Linked DNA regions of Tamandua tetradactyla. The protein of the gene in region 2 interacts with the protein of the main gene of each other region in a biochemical or structural test. Links are inferred from orthologs where the notes say so. Each region holds a gene or a part of one and is shown on either strand. Other genes may lie near its edges.

Region 1 (7,420 bases), on a different chromosome or scaffold from region 2:
ATTCATCTGTCCACACCCTGGATATAGGAGCATCAGACACAAGGTTTTCACAATAATACAGTCACATTATAAAAGCTGTATCATTATACAATCATCTTCAAGAATCAAGGCTATTGGAACACAGTTCAATAGAACTACCTGGATCTTTCCTTAAGATATAGTAATGCTCACTGTAACAATTTCCACTACGATGAACAAATGGGTCAGTAAGGATGAGGCAAAACTGTGTAGAACGCTGGAAGATGTTGCAGACCGAGGATATACAGCATTTTTCTGCTATACAAATGATGTATTTCACCTTCTTCAATTAGTGAGCATTTTAATAAGGATGAGAATAAGATGCTGTCCTTGTCCTCCAGGAATTTATAATCTAAATGGGGAGACAAAATATACACCCATGAAAAATTAAATAGCTGCTCAAGACTAAACTAACAGATCAAGGCATTAATCAAAGAGAAGTCATGTACACCATTCTGACCATAAGAAAGAGTTCAGAGGTGATATAAGTTTGGGCTGGGGAAGCCAGGGAAGGGCTTTAGAGATTTACCATAGAGGAAATAGATATGAATTATATCTTTTGAAAATGAACCACACTGAGATACAGTTTAAAAAACAAATCACACTACAGAAGAACTAATGATGAAATTTTAGTTTTCCACTCATGACTCTCAGGCTCTTTCTGAAAACCAATCACCATTACCATTTTTCTCGCGTCTTTCCAGTGTATTCAACTACCTGTAAATAGAGTCTGAATTGATTTTGATTTTGCAGTGTAATGCACAATGAAGGGTTAAGCTTGGTATCTATAAATATAAAAGTAAGACTCGTTCAATATAATTTATACAATAGAGACCTACTAAGAGATTTGAAGTACCCTAGTGAATTTCCAAGCTGATTGTTGCCATGGCAATCCCTGCCCCATCTACTTCAGTTCCTGTCTTGACCCACTTTGGTTTAGATGTTTCTAGCAGAGAGGACAGTTGACATGCTACCATATCTAAACCCTTGGGGACTGCATTGGTAGCCAGATTGTCTCTCATCCTCTTTCCTCAATCCTACAAATCCTAGAAGGCCTTCTAGAAAGAGCTGGAACCCAAAATCTGACACTTTGGAGAAATGGTCTAACTGAGACCTCAAGCATATTACCTATTGAACTAACGTACTCCTCCCCCTTTCTCTCCTCCCCATACTTGGAACAGATTCTTCTGGGGTCCTAGCCAGGTTTACTTTTGTTCCTACCCCTACTCACCCAGGTGGACATGGAAATCCATACCCTGCTAACATGGGAGAGACCGTTCATGTGACTCATCAGTTTAAAAAAAAAAAACTTTTATAAATTTTCACACATACAGTCCATACATAGTATACAATCAGTGGCTCACAATATCATCATGTAGTTGTATATTCATCACCATAATCATTTTTAGAGCATTTGCATCACTCCAGAAAAAGAAATAAAAAAAGAAAAAACTTATACATCCCATGCCCCTTACCTTCCCTCTCATTGACCACTAGCATTTCAATCTATCGATTTATTTCATCCCTTATCCCACCTATATTTACTTATTTTTTATAATTTCTTTTTACTCATCTGTCCATTTCCTGGATAAAAGGAGCATCATACACAAGGCTTTCACAATCAGAGAGTCACACTATAAAAGCTCTAACATTATACAGTCATTTCAAGAATCAAGACTACTGGAACACAGCTCAACAGTTCAGAGTACTTCCCTCCAGCCACTCCAATACACCATAAACTAAAAAGGGATTTCTATATAACGTATAAGAATACTCCCTAGGACAACTTCTCAACTTTGCTTGAAATCTCTCAGCCACTGAAACTTTACTTTGCCTCATTTCTTTCTTTCCCCTATGGTCAACAAGACTTTCTCAATCTCATGATACTGGGTTCCGGTTCATCCCAGGAGTCCTGTCCCACGTTGCCAGGGAGATTTACACCCCTAGGTGTCATGTCCCATGTAGGGGGGGAAGGCAATGAGTTCACCTGGAGTTGGCTTAGAGAGAGGGCAAGGCAGCTTTTTAAGGCTTTTTTATATTAAAACTGTTGACTTGCATTAATAGGAAGAAGGACCAAAAAACAAGCTACCTTATTTCAAAATTGAACGGCCAGTATTAGTTGTCATTTAACCGCCTCCCTTTGCCCTAGACCAACTTCCCCAGTGGCCGCTGGAAACAAGGCATAGGTGGGACTGCTCCACCAGTTGGCTTCCTGGGTCTCTTTCACTAGCTATTTTTAATAAGGGCTGAGTCAAGCTGCCTCTAAACTAACAGCGTAAGATACCACCCTGTTAGTAAATTTTTGGAGGAAGGATTTCTACTGAGTAGGCTCATCTTTGCATAAATACATGCAGGCAACAGAAGGGAAGGAAAATTAATATTTATTGACTTTAACTTCAAAGCACTATGCTACTCACTTTCATATTTATTAATTTATTCATCACACAATTATATTTAAGTAGATATCATTGCAAGTGAGTTCTTCTTCTCAAAGATTACAGACTTGAACAGAGCTGTACTCAAAATGACAATTTAACTCCAGGTTTCAGGCTCTTCGTCACTACGTTTCCATGAGAAAAGTACTTCCACGCATGAGGAGGTGGTGGAAATGAAAGAGATTTTGAAAGGAACTCTGGAAAACCTGTAAGACTCAGAGAAGTAACGGCTAAACATTTCTCCAGGTCCAGCTGAAGGCCCCTACTTCCGAGTAGCCTTCATTTCTGGGATTAAAGAGTACACCTTCAAAACGCTTAGTGTTTGAAATGCTCCTTTGGTACTTCTTGATTACTGATTTGTATTGCTACGGATGCTTTTCCGCTTGAGTTCCCAGTTAAATCCATGAATGATAACATAGAGTGCTGGACAGGAAGCCAAGAAAACTATGTTCTAGTCTTGTCTCTGCCACTTTTGTGAGATCTGAGGTTCTTTTCAACTTTAGTTCTGCGGTGCTCCCCAATTAAGAGAGAGGCGCTTAAGAAATACTTGACGTATTGTGTTAGGTTCAATATTTTCGTGAGCCGAGGTTTGGGTGTCCCTAAGCAATAGACAAATCCTGTCAGTCCTGGGCAGTGTGCAGCCTAAGAACTTTGCAGCCTTCGGTAGCGCAGAAGCGCTAAAGTCTGGCCTAGGAATATCTCAGTTGAAAGCACTACGGAAGGAGCGCCTGAACAGTGGAGAAATGAACAGCAAGGCAAGGAAACCCAACAATTCTGAGGCATCGTGCCGGGGACTTATCTTTTAGATTTCACAAAGACTGCACAGAGAGTGCATTAGTAGCATCATTTTTACCGAGGATGAAACTGAGATTCAGGTTAAAGGAAAACACCTGGCCCCCTCACGCTAAACGCAAACGGCATCCCAGGCTCTCGGTTTATTTACACTCGGACTCCGCCCCCGCCGCACAGCACGAGGGGCCCCGCCCACTCCCTCGCCTGTGGGTGTGTCCAGGCGCTGGCCGAATCCTAGGGTTTTCTTCCTAGCCCGCTTCTGTCCGTGTTCGTCCAAGCCTCAGGGCGGGCCCCAGCCTCCCCAAGAAATGAGCACGTGTCCACTCCCGGCTTAACTAAGGAAAGTGCACCAGGCGGCGGCCCCCAAGCAGGGCCCACCCCATGAAGCTGGGGAAGGGCGGAAAGGGTCCCGGGGCCGAGGCGAAGAGAGAAGGGTGGTCGCCGGGATTATTTTCCCAGCGCGGCAGGTTACGTGCCTTCTACTTCCTCCCTCCCCTCCCTGGAGTCTTTTCTGGGAGCGTGCCGGAGACGAAATCAGCCGAAACCGCTTGCGTCCAACCCCTCCTCGTCCCCAGCCCGCCCGGCCGCGCCTCGCCTCACGCTCTACGAGGGAGGCGGGACCAATCAGCGAGCGACGTCTCCCTTCCGATTCAAGCCACCCGACGCGCGGCTCACACCCCGGCTACCCCGCGCGCTCATTGGCTGCGTGGGCCGCCGGTCCAGTCGCGAGGGCGGGGAGGGCCGAAGGGAAGGGAGGTGGGGAGGTAGTGGCCCGCAACTCTCCGTGCCCTGCTCGCCCCTAGCTCTTCCCTCGGCGCCTGGCCTCCCTCCTTCTTTCCGCCGCTCCCTCCGTCTTCTCTGCGCGCGGAGCGCTCCACTCGGCCGGCGTTCCTCCGCCCTAACAGGCGGGTGGGGGCGCCAATCAGCGGGCGGCAGGGTGCCAGCCCCGGGGCTGTGCCGGCGAATCGGCGGGGCTCGCGGCCCGGGGTGGGAGGCGGGTCTACCCGCGCGGCCGCGGCGGCGGAGGAGCAGCTCGCCAGCCAGCAGCAGCGAGCGCCGAGCGAGCCGCCGGGAGGTGGGTACGCAGCGCGGCTGCGGCCGGCGACGCGAGGGCGGAGGGCGGAAGCGGAGGTGGGGCGGCGGGCGCGGCGGGGGAGGGCTCGGCCGGCCCGATGGCCCGTGAGAGGGATACGGGAGCGCGCGTGAGGGGAGGAGGGGCGGCGGCGGGACGCGCGCGTCCCCACCTCCTCCCTCCTTGGCGGGCGGCGGCCGTGGCCCTGCGACCCCTCCCCGCGCACGCCGGGCTGCCGGCGGGGCACTGGCCGGGGGAGTGGGGGGGGCGGGGCGGGAAGACGGGCGGCGGGGAGCGTGTTTTCAGTTCCGCCTCACGTCGACCATTCCCCTCTTCCCCTCCCAGCCCCCTCCATCCCATTCGGAAGAGGAAGGAACAAAAGGTCCCGGACCCCCCCGAGTCTCACTGGGCGGGACCTGGAGCCTCCGTCCAGGTAAAGCCTCGGTTCCTGGTGGGCCCTCGGGGCTAGGGGTGTGTTTGTGTTTGGCTTGGGTCGGTGAAATTCGCGTGTCACATGGCCACGGGGGTTGGGGGTTGGGGTGTGGCGAGGCTGGGGCAGTGGGTGCGCCGGTCTCTCCGGAGTGCGGATACCAGGGGGGCCAGGGACAAGCAGAGAGGGCAGGGACCGAATCTTACAGCTCGGCGCACTGGAGCTTCCCGGCCCAGCCTGGTCCGGGGCGGGGGCCGATCGTGTCCTTTCCCCTCTACTCGTAACACACTTGATGGTTTGCGGTTCTGATTTTTAAAGCCGAAGGGACATAGCTCTCTTCTTTCAGGAGTTGTGAAGCCGTGTTAGGACCGTGTGTTACTTTGCGTCCACTTTTTTCCTGGTCCTGTAACCTTTGTTAACCATAATACTCTCGGGTTCTGAATGGCTCTTGGGTACTCTTCTCACAAGAACACGCACACGGCTAATCTGTCGAGATCGTTTTTTACTCACTTGTGGAAGTTGCTCTGTGAGTAGACGCTATTAGTTTTTAGCACATGCCTTTAAAAAATAGGCTTATTGATTTCACGTATTTGAAACTTGGTTTTCAAAATTGCAACCTTAATCTCTTCTCTTCAGGGGAGTGCTGCCCTTGGGTCGCGTACTTTTGTCTTTACTTTTATGCGGTTATGGTTTCCTTTTGATCCCAAACAAAAGAAAAACAATACCTAGGTTGGTTTTGTTATTCGTTCCTCTCTTGACTCTTTAAAATCCAAATACTGCAGTTTTGTTGTCTTTATTTAAAAAACGTCTCCGGGTAAAATGAATCGTCCATCAAAATCATGTTTTGTTTGCTACAGTTTGAAGTATACTAGTTTGGTGTTTTAACTTTTAGAACTACATATGTAAAATAATTGTTAATAAATAAGTAAGTAAATAGTCTTGCAAACTTATTTGAAGTAATTTCATCTTTTCAAAAATGGTCCCAGAAAATGGAATTTCTAGAATTCTAAAATGATACTTTAATATTGTTTCCTTTTCATTTTCTTCTCCCTTCTGACATTTGAATTGAACCTGTATCACTGATAGTACCGATGTTTTCTTTGAACCTAAGAAGACAATAAATCTGCTATTATTAAGCCGAAAGTACATTTGCTATTATTGGAGTTTTGATCCCCTTAAAAAAATTCCCACTTACATAGAAGATTAATAGTTAAATGAAGTTTGAACAGTTTTCATGTGTGAATAAGTGAAGCCAATATAACCGAGAGATGGGAGGTATAAGCGAAAATGGATTTTGTAAATGTGTGTAGTTTGAGAGTTTTTCATTTGCCTTAGGAAATTATATTGGTTGTTTAAAGGATTTCCTCCACCAAAAGGTAATTTAGCACAGTTTTTACATTGAATTCAGAAAGTAAATTTTTAGAGTTTCTTGGTTTTCACCATGAAATTTGCTTTGTAGTTTGTAGAAAATAAAAATAGTGTATGTCTTTGAGCATTTTTAAGAAGAGTGTCCACCTGTATTCTATTTATTTATTTACTTTTTCTACATGGGCGGGCACTGGGAATCGAACCTGGGTCTCTGGCATGGCAGGCGAAAACTCTGCCAGTGAGCCACTGTTGTCCGCCCTCTTTTTATTTTTTTTAACCTGAATGAGAATGGAAGTTCATTGTCTTTTATTTTATCTGAATTTAAAAAAATTAATTTACTTTAAAATATTTATGTATAATAAAATTCACTCTTCTTGGTGTACAGTTCTGTGAACTTAGACAAATGTATCTTGTAGTAAACCACCCCCACACTCGAGATAAAGAGTAGTTCCATCACTCCTAAAAAATTCCCTAATACTACACCTTTATAAATCAGCCTCAACCCCTTTGAACCACTACGCTGTTTTTTAGTCCCATAATATTTGTCTTTTCCAGATGTCGTGTCAGTGGAATCATGTGTTATGTAGCTGTTTTAGTCCAGTTTCATTGGCTTACACATTTGAGAGTCATGTTATCAGTTTTTTGTTCCTTTTTTATTGCTGAATAGTAGTCTACAGTACATCCATTCATCATTTGAAGTACATAACATTCTTAATGTTAAAATCTATTGGATGTAATTGAGTTTAGAGAAATTCATTGGCCATTTTTAATTAATGTAATGTGATTTGAAACAACCATTTTAAAACTTGTTTTAGTAAGAAATTCTCAGGAAGTGCTATTTTTTTTTTTTTTTGGCATAGTTAGGCTCCAGGAATTGAACCTGGGTCTCTGGCATGGCGGGCAAGAATTCTGCTACTGAGCCAGTGTTGCACCGCCCAAGAGCTTGGTTTTTATACTTTTTACCAACACCTTAGTCTTGCAAAGAACTATGCAGGGTAGTCAGGTTTGGTATGTATTCCTCTTAAGTAGGAAAATTGGGGATGGCTTTATATGTTTCAAGCATCCACTTTAACAAAACTGCTTAATGGGAACAAAGGTGGTTTGGCAAAAGGTGCTTTTTAAATTTTCGTATTGTAAATATTAGAATCGTGTTGCTGTAATATCATTACTTTTCGTTTGAGTGGAAAACATTCAGTTTAGTTGTGTAAACTGCTGTTTGGAGACTTAGTGAATTTTTACATTTTGCAAATCTTTTCAATTTTGGCCTTTGGGTCTAAAAGCTTTCCTTATTCTTGTTTGGCTTCG
Region 2 (7,513 bases):
TTGAAGTCGATAGCTTTACATACAGACCATTTTAATGACCAAGCACTAATAGATCATAAAGAGCAACAGAAGTAGCCTGATGGATCAAATCACATTTTACCACCAATGGCTTGGGGTACCTCAAACCTGGGATTAAATGAGCCCTGCCACCGGTTGTTTGGTGGTAGAATGCTGGCCTGCCATGCTGGAGACCAGGGTTCTATCCCCAGCTCATGGACCCCTCCATCCCATCAAAAAAAAAAAAAAATTAGCCTCCCCACTTTAGAAACAGCAAATACCAAACAGTTCACTAGTTGATTGCAGTTTCAGAAATTATGTGGAAAAATCTAATGTCTACCGTGGCAGAGAGCCCATGGCTCAAATATTTCTTCTCCTTGGTTTATGTGTGTGTGTCACCATCCAAGAATTGTTTACCTTTTAGTAAAGGGACATCTCTACATTAAAGATATAATTGAGTAACTACAGTTCAAAAAGCACCTTGAAATCAAAGGCACTCTATAAATTTAAAATACTAGTTGGTATTAACTTAGAGCAAAGAGCAGTACTTTTAAGCATCTTGTAGCCCCAGATTATTTTAAAGCAAATAAAAATTTATTGTGGGATTTGCCTTTTTTTTTTAAGTGGTTTTTCCTCTATGATGAAACATGGATAAAATGAACTGTTAAACACTTAGTCTAAAGGTATGCCAAACATTTAAGGTCTTACTTAACAAAGAATCAACTACTTTTTTTTTTTTCAAACACAAAACGAAGCCTAGGTTAAATATTTTATTTGGCTTCTCAAGATGGACTGAGAAGTTGGGCACCAGCTCCAGACCAATTCCTGGACGCACATCAAACACAGCCCTGTCATTTATCCAGTCAGTCAAAACAATCTTTTCCATCTAACCCTTTAATGTTTATGTCCTAAAAAGCTTCTAATTGAATGCAGTTCTTGAGATCTGTTTGTTAAAATCTATACCATCTAATTTGTAAATGATGAAAATGAAGGAAATATATATATATATGTATGTTAACTTTCCTGGCAAAACAGAAGAGAATCCACCACATGTAACAAAAGTGAGGAGAACATCTTTTTAAACTTTGTCATATTTTAAGACAAAACCATTAGGAGATAAATACCCACTAGTTTTAAGAAATTAAGAGTACCTCAAAAATTAAGGAGACTAACCAAAGACACTGTGTGCTTAAAATCTAAAAATACAAAATTACTTTCTATAAAATCAGTCCGCAGCTCCCTTCCACCACCCCCTTAATATAAACAAGTACAATCTTGCCTCCTCCTAATAAACTTTACTTGTGAATCTTTATAATGTATCATATACAGTAAGGAAACCACAGAAAAACACTAAGATCTATCTATTCAGATTTAAAACCTCACTTTATCTGCAGAAAATCAAAATCGCTGTTTTCTCCCTCATTTTCATTGTATGAATATACGCTAAAGAAAGGAAAGTAAATAGGCAAGAATCTATTTCTGATGCTTTTTAAAGCATACCTGGAAGTCACAGGTTCTTTCTATAATCACAAGCACAGGATTGACTCCAGACACTGAACAGCAGTAGATAAACTCTAAAGCAACAAAGGTCCCTTATAAAGGTTTCCAGTGACCCCTAAGAAAATAAGGAAACTGAATGGGAGGAAGGAGGGAGATATGCATTCCCCAATCCAGGTTTTCAATTAAGAACCACTCAGTTAATAATGCTTGGTAATTTTCCCTAGGGAAAGTAAAACTGTCATGAAAGTGATGTTATTTTAAAAATTACAGCCAACTATATTTAGGCTACTTTATCAAATACCAAATTCACCACAAGTTAGTTTTTATCTCAAAAGTTCAGCCAGTGGACTGGGATGTGACACACTAGTATTCAACTACAAAATTAGTCCAAATATATCTCAAAGTCTAGTATAAGCAAAGATAAGTAATTTATTCTTACACACACACACATGTCCTGTAAGGAAAACCATCTTTCTCACCACACATGGAAATATAAACGTGGACAACTTATTAATGGGGAATGGTGACCCAGGGTAACCATACTGATTTCAACTACACTTTTCAAACCAAAAAAAATGTTTCCTTAAAAGGGTAACATGTCCCTATAAAAATAGCAAAACTGGCACTGCAAACAAAATATACCTGTAATGTTAAAGTTTTATGCACCTGGACTCACAAACACTTTTTTTTTTTTTAAGAGTAACAACTATCTCACAACCCCTCCCGAAATTCTTTTTGTACTGGCAATCTTCAGAAAAGGGAAGGGGGGTAGAGTGGGTTGAGACAAAGTTCTCTTGAAAGTTTATAGGCGCACATACTTACAAATTTAATTGTTTAAGACATGTTTTTAAAGCAGATCTAGAGTTAGAAATGAGACACAAGTTCCGCGGCCTACAAGGAACAACCCAAAACATGCTAACCTACAATCGAACACTTTCAAAACACAGTGGTCAATGAACCTGAGTCGTCGGATCAGGAAGACACTCGGGGAAAGTCAATCTCAGCCTCCTTCTTCCCAAAACTAGGTTCATTTACCGGCTGCTGTGGCTAGCAGCAGAGAGTAAAGGCATATTCACGCGGGCGTGTTGGTGTACAAGTTAACCAGGGAACGAACGCACACACACGCACACACACACACACACACACACACACACACTCCCGTTAAGCGCTCCATCTTTAAGGAGTGTTTACTGCGCACAGTCAGCGACCGGATTCAATAATCCCCGCCACAGGAGCGCCTCATCCCCTCAACGACCCCACCTGGGGAGCAAGCTAGGAACTACTCCCCCAGACTCAGGGAGAAGTAGGGATCCTCGGCCAAGACTTTTCGACCTCAAATTCGCAAAGAATTCAAACCGACTTACCCCTCCCCTCTACGGAAGACCCCCGGGTCACCCTTGGCTTTCTAAAGAATTTACAATCAAGAGCGAGTGGTTTTTCCGACTACTCTCCCCTGACCTAGGCCTTCCCACGCCTCCGGTCTCCAGCTCCCCGCCGATCGCGACCCTGGCCCTTCCCAAGCCCGCAGGCACCCCCCGTCGGCTCGCCCGCCCCGCGGCTGCCCCGGCCTGGGTCCCGCCGCCCGCCTCCCTCACCTGTCAGGCGCAGCTTGACGGGCCCGTTCCTCCGGCCTCCGGGGTTAGACATGTCCCCGGCGGCGGGGGTGGCGGCGGGGTTGCGGGCGCGGGGGCCGGGGCCGGCGGCGGGCGGGGCGGAGGCGACGGCGAGGCGCGGCGGAGTCACCACAGCGGCCGGGGCTGGGGCCCGAGCTGCCGGCGCCGCGGCCGCCGCGGCCGGAGGGTCCCGGATGTGCCGAGCGTCGTCGCCATGAGCCGCGGAGGGAGCGGGACGCCGAGCTCCCCCCTCCTCCCACTTCTCCTTCCTCTGCCCGGGCAGCACAACAAAGCAGCAGCCGCGGCCGGCCGCGCCGCTTCTGCCAGCGCCTCCAAGCAGCCGCCTCTGGCCTCTTCCACCTTTCGGCTCGGCGAGGCCCAGGATCCGACGCGGATGGTCGGCTGAGGCGGGCGGTGCTCGGTGGCGGCGGAGCAGAGTTTCGGGGCTCAGGCGCTTCCTCCTCCACCCGCCCTCTTGTCTGAGGGAACCGGGTCCCGGGGCCGCCGCCGCCACTAGTCGGCTTGGGGGGCGGGGGGGGGCGGGGGGCGGGGCTTGGGGGCGGGGCGGGGCCTGGGCGTGCCGAGCCCGGGTGAGGGCGGCGGGGCGGCGGGGCGCCGCTGTCGGGGTGGGGGTTCGCTGGAAGGCACGCTGTCTTTCCTCCTGGGTCCCACGCAGAACTTGAGGAGGGAGGAAACAAAGGAGAAAAGTGTTGGTGGCGGCAGCTTCGTGGCACCAGGAGGGACCTTGGTGTCCAACTCCCTTAAAAGACGAGAGCTTTTGTTTGCGAAAGGCGGACTGCACTTATTAGACTCCCCACTACTCTTCCAGAGGCTGGGACGAACAAGGTTAGAGCCGGGAGTTCTCTCCGGGAATTTAGCATCCCTCTGGCGAAGGAAGGAACACTTATTCCCACACCGAGGGTTCCAGCAAATCCCCAGGGGTCCTTCGCTTCTGGTATTGCAGTTGCCGCCGCCATCCTGGACTCACCTGGTGTACGAGATCAGGTTACCTACCTGCTCCGGCTCTTTTTCCAGTAATAGTTCAAGGATAGGTCGATGGTAAAGACTTAAAGGATTGTTAACAAGATAAACCTTGGGGTGCAATGTATGAAAAACTTTTCATACAGAACTGCATTTTTTCAGGAGGATAAAATAGAAAATGAAATAAAAATATGTGTACCTTACCCTTTGATCCATTAGTCGCACTCCTAGGAATTTGTTTTTGAAAAACAATTCTGAAAAAGAGAAAAAGACTATACAGAAGATGCACTTTGCAAAATTCGGTTAATAACGAAAGAAGGGGATGAAGGATCAGCGTAATGGTAAATTATATTAAGTCAACAGGATAGACTTTATGCAGCCACTGAAATGACAATTGTGAAGGTCATGTAACATGGAAGAGTTTAGAAATAATGCAAAGTTTAAAAACATAGTTTAAAAAGCTGCATGTATACATGCAAGATTATCTGTGCACAATGAAAACAAGAGTGACTGAAGTCTCCCCAGTTGTGTGGGAGAGGACTCCCAGGGATGAGCCTGGCCTCGCATGGTGGAATCAACAATGCCATCCTGACCAAAAGGGGGGAAAGAAGTGTAACAAGGTATCAGTGGCTGAGAGACTTCAAATAGAGTTGAGAAGCTACACTTGGAGGTCATTCTTACCTAAGCTTCAGTTAGACATTACTGCCTACCATAACTTGCCAACCCCCAACCAAAACCATTCCAGCCAATCCTAAAGAACCTCTGGGGCGGGATATAAGATTCTACGAAGGTTCCATGCACTTAGGGTACCTTTCCAAAAACCTACAACCTGCAAATGGATCTCTGGACCAGATAAGTCCTGAAATGCAGAAGGCCAGCTTCTCCAGAAAATATAGTTCCATTCCCCTACCCCATATTATCGACAGCCCCTTACAACATGAAAAAGTTAGAATGGCCATAGCCCAGGTACCCCGAAACAGTGGGAGAAAGATCAAAGATGATGGTGGAGTTATACAGAGAAGGTAGGTTTTAACAAATAAGTACGATTGCTGAATCACCCTATTGATATTTTAGCCTCCAGTATCTCAGAGCACCTAGAAGTAAAAGCCTAAAATGGTGGAATCGTAACCCATACCAAACTCTGAAATCTGTACTACAACTAATTGTTGTGATGTGCTTTGAAATTTATTGCTTTTATGTACATATGTTATTTTTCACACAAAAAAGAAAAATATATATTTCTTCTAGCCTCCAGTGTTTTGGAGCAGCTAGAAGGAAAAATCTGAAATAGTGGAATGGTAACCATAACAAACTCTGAAATCTGTTCTGTATCGACCTCTTGACATATACTTTGAAAATCATTGCCTTTTCTGTCTTTTCTTTGTATATATGTTATATTTAACAATAAAAAGGTTTAAAAAAAATAGTGACTATGGGTTGTTTTTTTGCATGCTTTGTTAATTTTCCAGAAACTGTTGAAGCATCTATGCTATTTTAAATTTAAAGTCTAATATATTTTAATCCTAATTCAGTCCGTCAGCCATTGCTTTTAATTCACCAATGAAGTCACTTCATTTTCCAGATGAAATCTCATCAGGCTTACACTCCTTCCATTTAAAGTGATCCAAATAATTATGCAAAGTTCTAGAAGTCAAACTAGAAACATAAAGGACAGTGCTAGAAATTCATTCAACAAATACTGCGTGCCTACTATGAGCAAAACAGTGAACAAGTTCCTTTAGAAATGTTTTTTTTGTACTATAAAAGATCTGAAGCGACACATTCAATTTGAATAGCTCATATCACAATTTAAGAGGCTGGATAATGGCAATAAAACTTAACAAATGGACGTGTACATACACATATGCCTTATCCTTATGACACACACTTTGTTCCAAACACCCACTAAGGTAATTTGTATTAAATGATAATAGTTAGGATTCCAGAACCTGGTGGGGGAGGCCAAGAGAGACATAATTTATTGAGAAGTTGAAAGCAGTACATTCACAGTTAATGTGACAGTGACGACACAGAAAAATGTATACATGCATAATGTGCAGAGGAGGACTCTGTTTAGGCTTGCCGCTGTGTAAATTTAAATCCTGTTGTTTAAAACAGAAGATTCAGATAAGAATAATACTTTAAACCCATTCAGTATACTAGTAATAGTCTTTCTCTTAAGATGAGTACACAGATGTGCATTTAATTATTATCCTTTTTCTTGCCATGTTAAATACTATTTGACACAGGTTTTAAATACTTAATAAAAATAAAATTAAGTAAAATTTTCAAATGAAGTCACATAAATGACAAAATAAAATAGATTAGCACTAATTGGAAAATTACGTTGAATGCATCTCAGCTCAATGGCATCAGCTAGCCCAGAATCAGACTCCTGAGATTGGGCATAATGTCAGAAGACTTTCAAAAAAATACATTTATATGTTTCCCCCTTTGGGACATGTTTAAAATGTACATTACAATGTACATTACAATGTACATTTTGACAGGGAACTACCAAAATCACAGGGAGAATTTAAGAAGGACAAAGAAGAAAGTGAACAAGGTGGGTGGGCATTGGGATTCATATAAAGAAAAGACACATGAAGATAAGGCCATTTTCTAACTCCCAGCAAAATATTACTATGCCATTCATTCGTTCAATTCAAGGCCCCGAAGATACCGAAAGGGAAGAATATTTAAGTTAGTATAGTAGAAGAGACTCTTTCCACAAAGAAAAAAGAAAGAAAGATGGGGAAGGCTCTTATTACAACCAGGACTGAATTTGATAAGCGGCGCGTTTTAATCTACGGCTTCCCAACGGAGCTGCTTATGTGGGGTTGAAAATACAGGGGCCCATGCTCAGCCCAGACCTACTGAATCAGAATTTCCTATGGGTCTAGCGGAGGAGCTTTTGTAAAAAGCTACACAGGGGATTCTGATACATAAACAGGTTTGGGAACCGCTATCCCAGTGATTCTCAAACTTTACAGTTTATCAGAATCACCTGGAGAGCTTGTTAAACCCAGACAAAGTTCCACCTCCAAAATTTCTGGCTGAGTTGGTCCGGGGCGGTGCCTGAGGATTTGCATCCCTAACAAGTTTCCCAGGTGATCCAGATGATGCTAGTCCTGGGATCACACTTTGAGAACAATTACATTATCCTAAATCACCCAGAGGAAAGCTCAGCTTTCATTAGATTAAATTTCAGCATTAGATGCACAGCATTGTCTCCATCATGGCAATAGTTTCAGAAAGATTTTTGAGAAAATAGGGAGAAAAAAAACACCCTTTGCTTCACCCTTTTCTTTCCTCTTAAAATTGAAATCCACTTCCAACATAAATTGTACCTGTACATGCCTCTGATTGGGTATGGAAATTGCAGAAAATATTTTCAAAGATGTTTTATTCCCTTGTGATTT

Evidence for each region.
Region 1: the proteins of SMURF2 (region 2) and SMAD2 form a complex in vitro, tested with the Homo sapiens proteins (3 studies listed by BioGRID and IntAct, with this or other methods). The link is inferred for Tamandua tetradactyla from reciprocal best matches to the Homo sapiens genes SMURF2 and SMAD2.

Annotation. Positions count from the first base shown.
Region 1 is NC_135344.1:35,188,613-35,196,032, forward strand, and holds the start of SMAD2 (mothers against decapentaplegic homolog 2), read left to right. Parts: upstream 1-4,220; 5' UTR 4,221-4,320; intron 4,321-4,384; exon of another isoform or gene 4,385-4,424; intron 4,425-4,565; exon of another isoform or gene 4,566-4,662; 5' UTR 4,663-4,750; intron 4,751-7,420. UniProt on the Homo sapiens protein: Receptor-regulated SMAD (R-SMAD) that is an intracellular signal transducer and transcriptional modulator activated by TGF-beta (transforming growth factor) and activin type 1 receptor kinases.
Region 2 is NC_135332.1:5,950,635-5,958,147, forward strand, and holds the start of SMURF2 (E3 ubiquitin-protein ligase SMURF2), read right to left. Parts: upstream 3,194-7,513; 5' UTR 3,145-3,193; coding exon 3,093-3,144; intron 1-3,092. UniProt on the Homo sapiens protein: E3 ubiquitin-protein ligase which accepts ubiquitin from an E2 ubiquitin-conjugating enzyme in the form of a thioester and then directly transfers the ubiquitin to targeted substrates.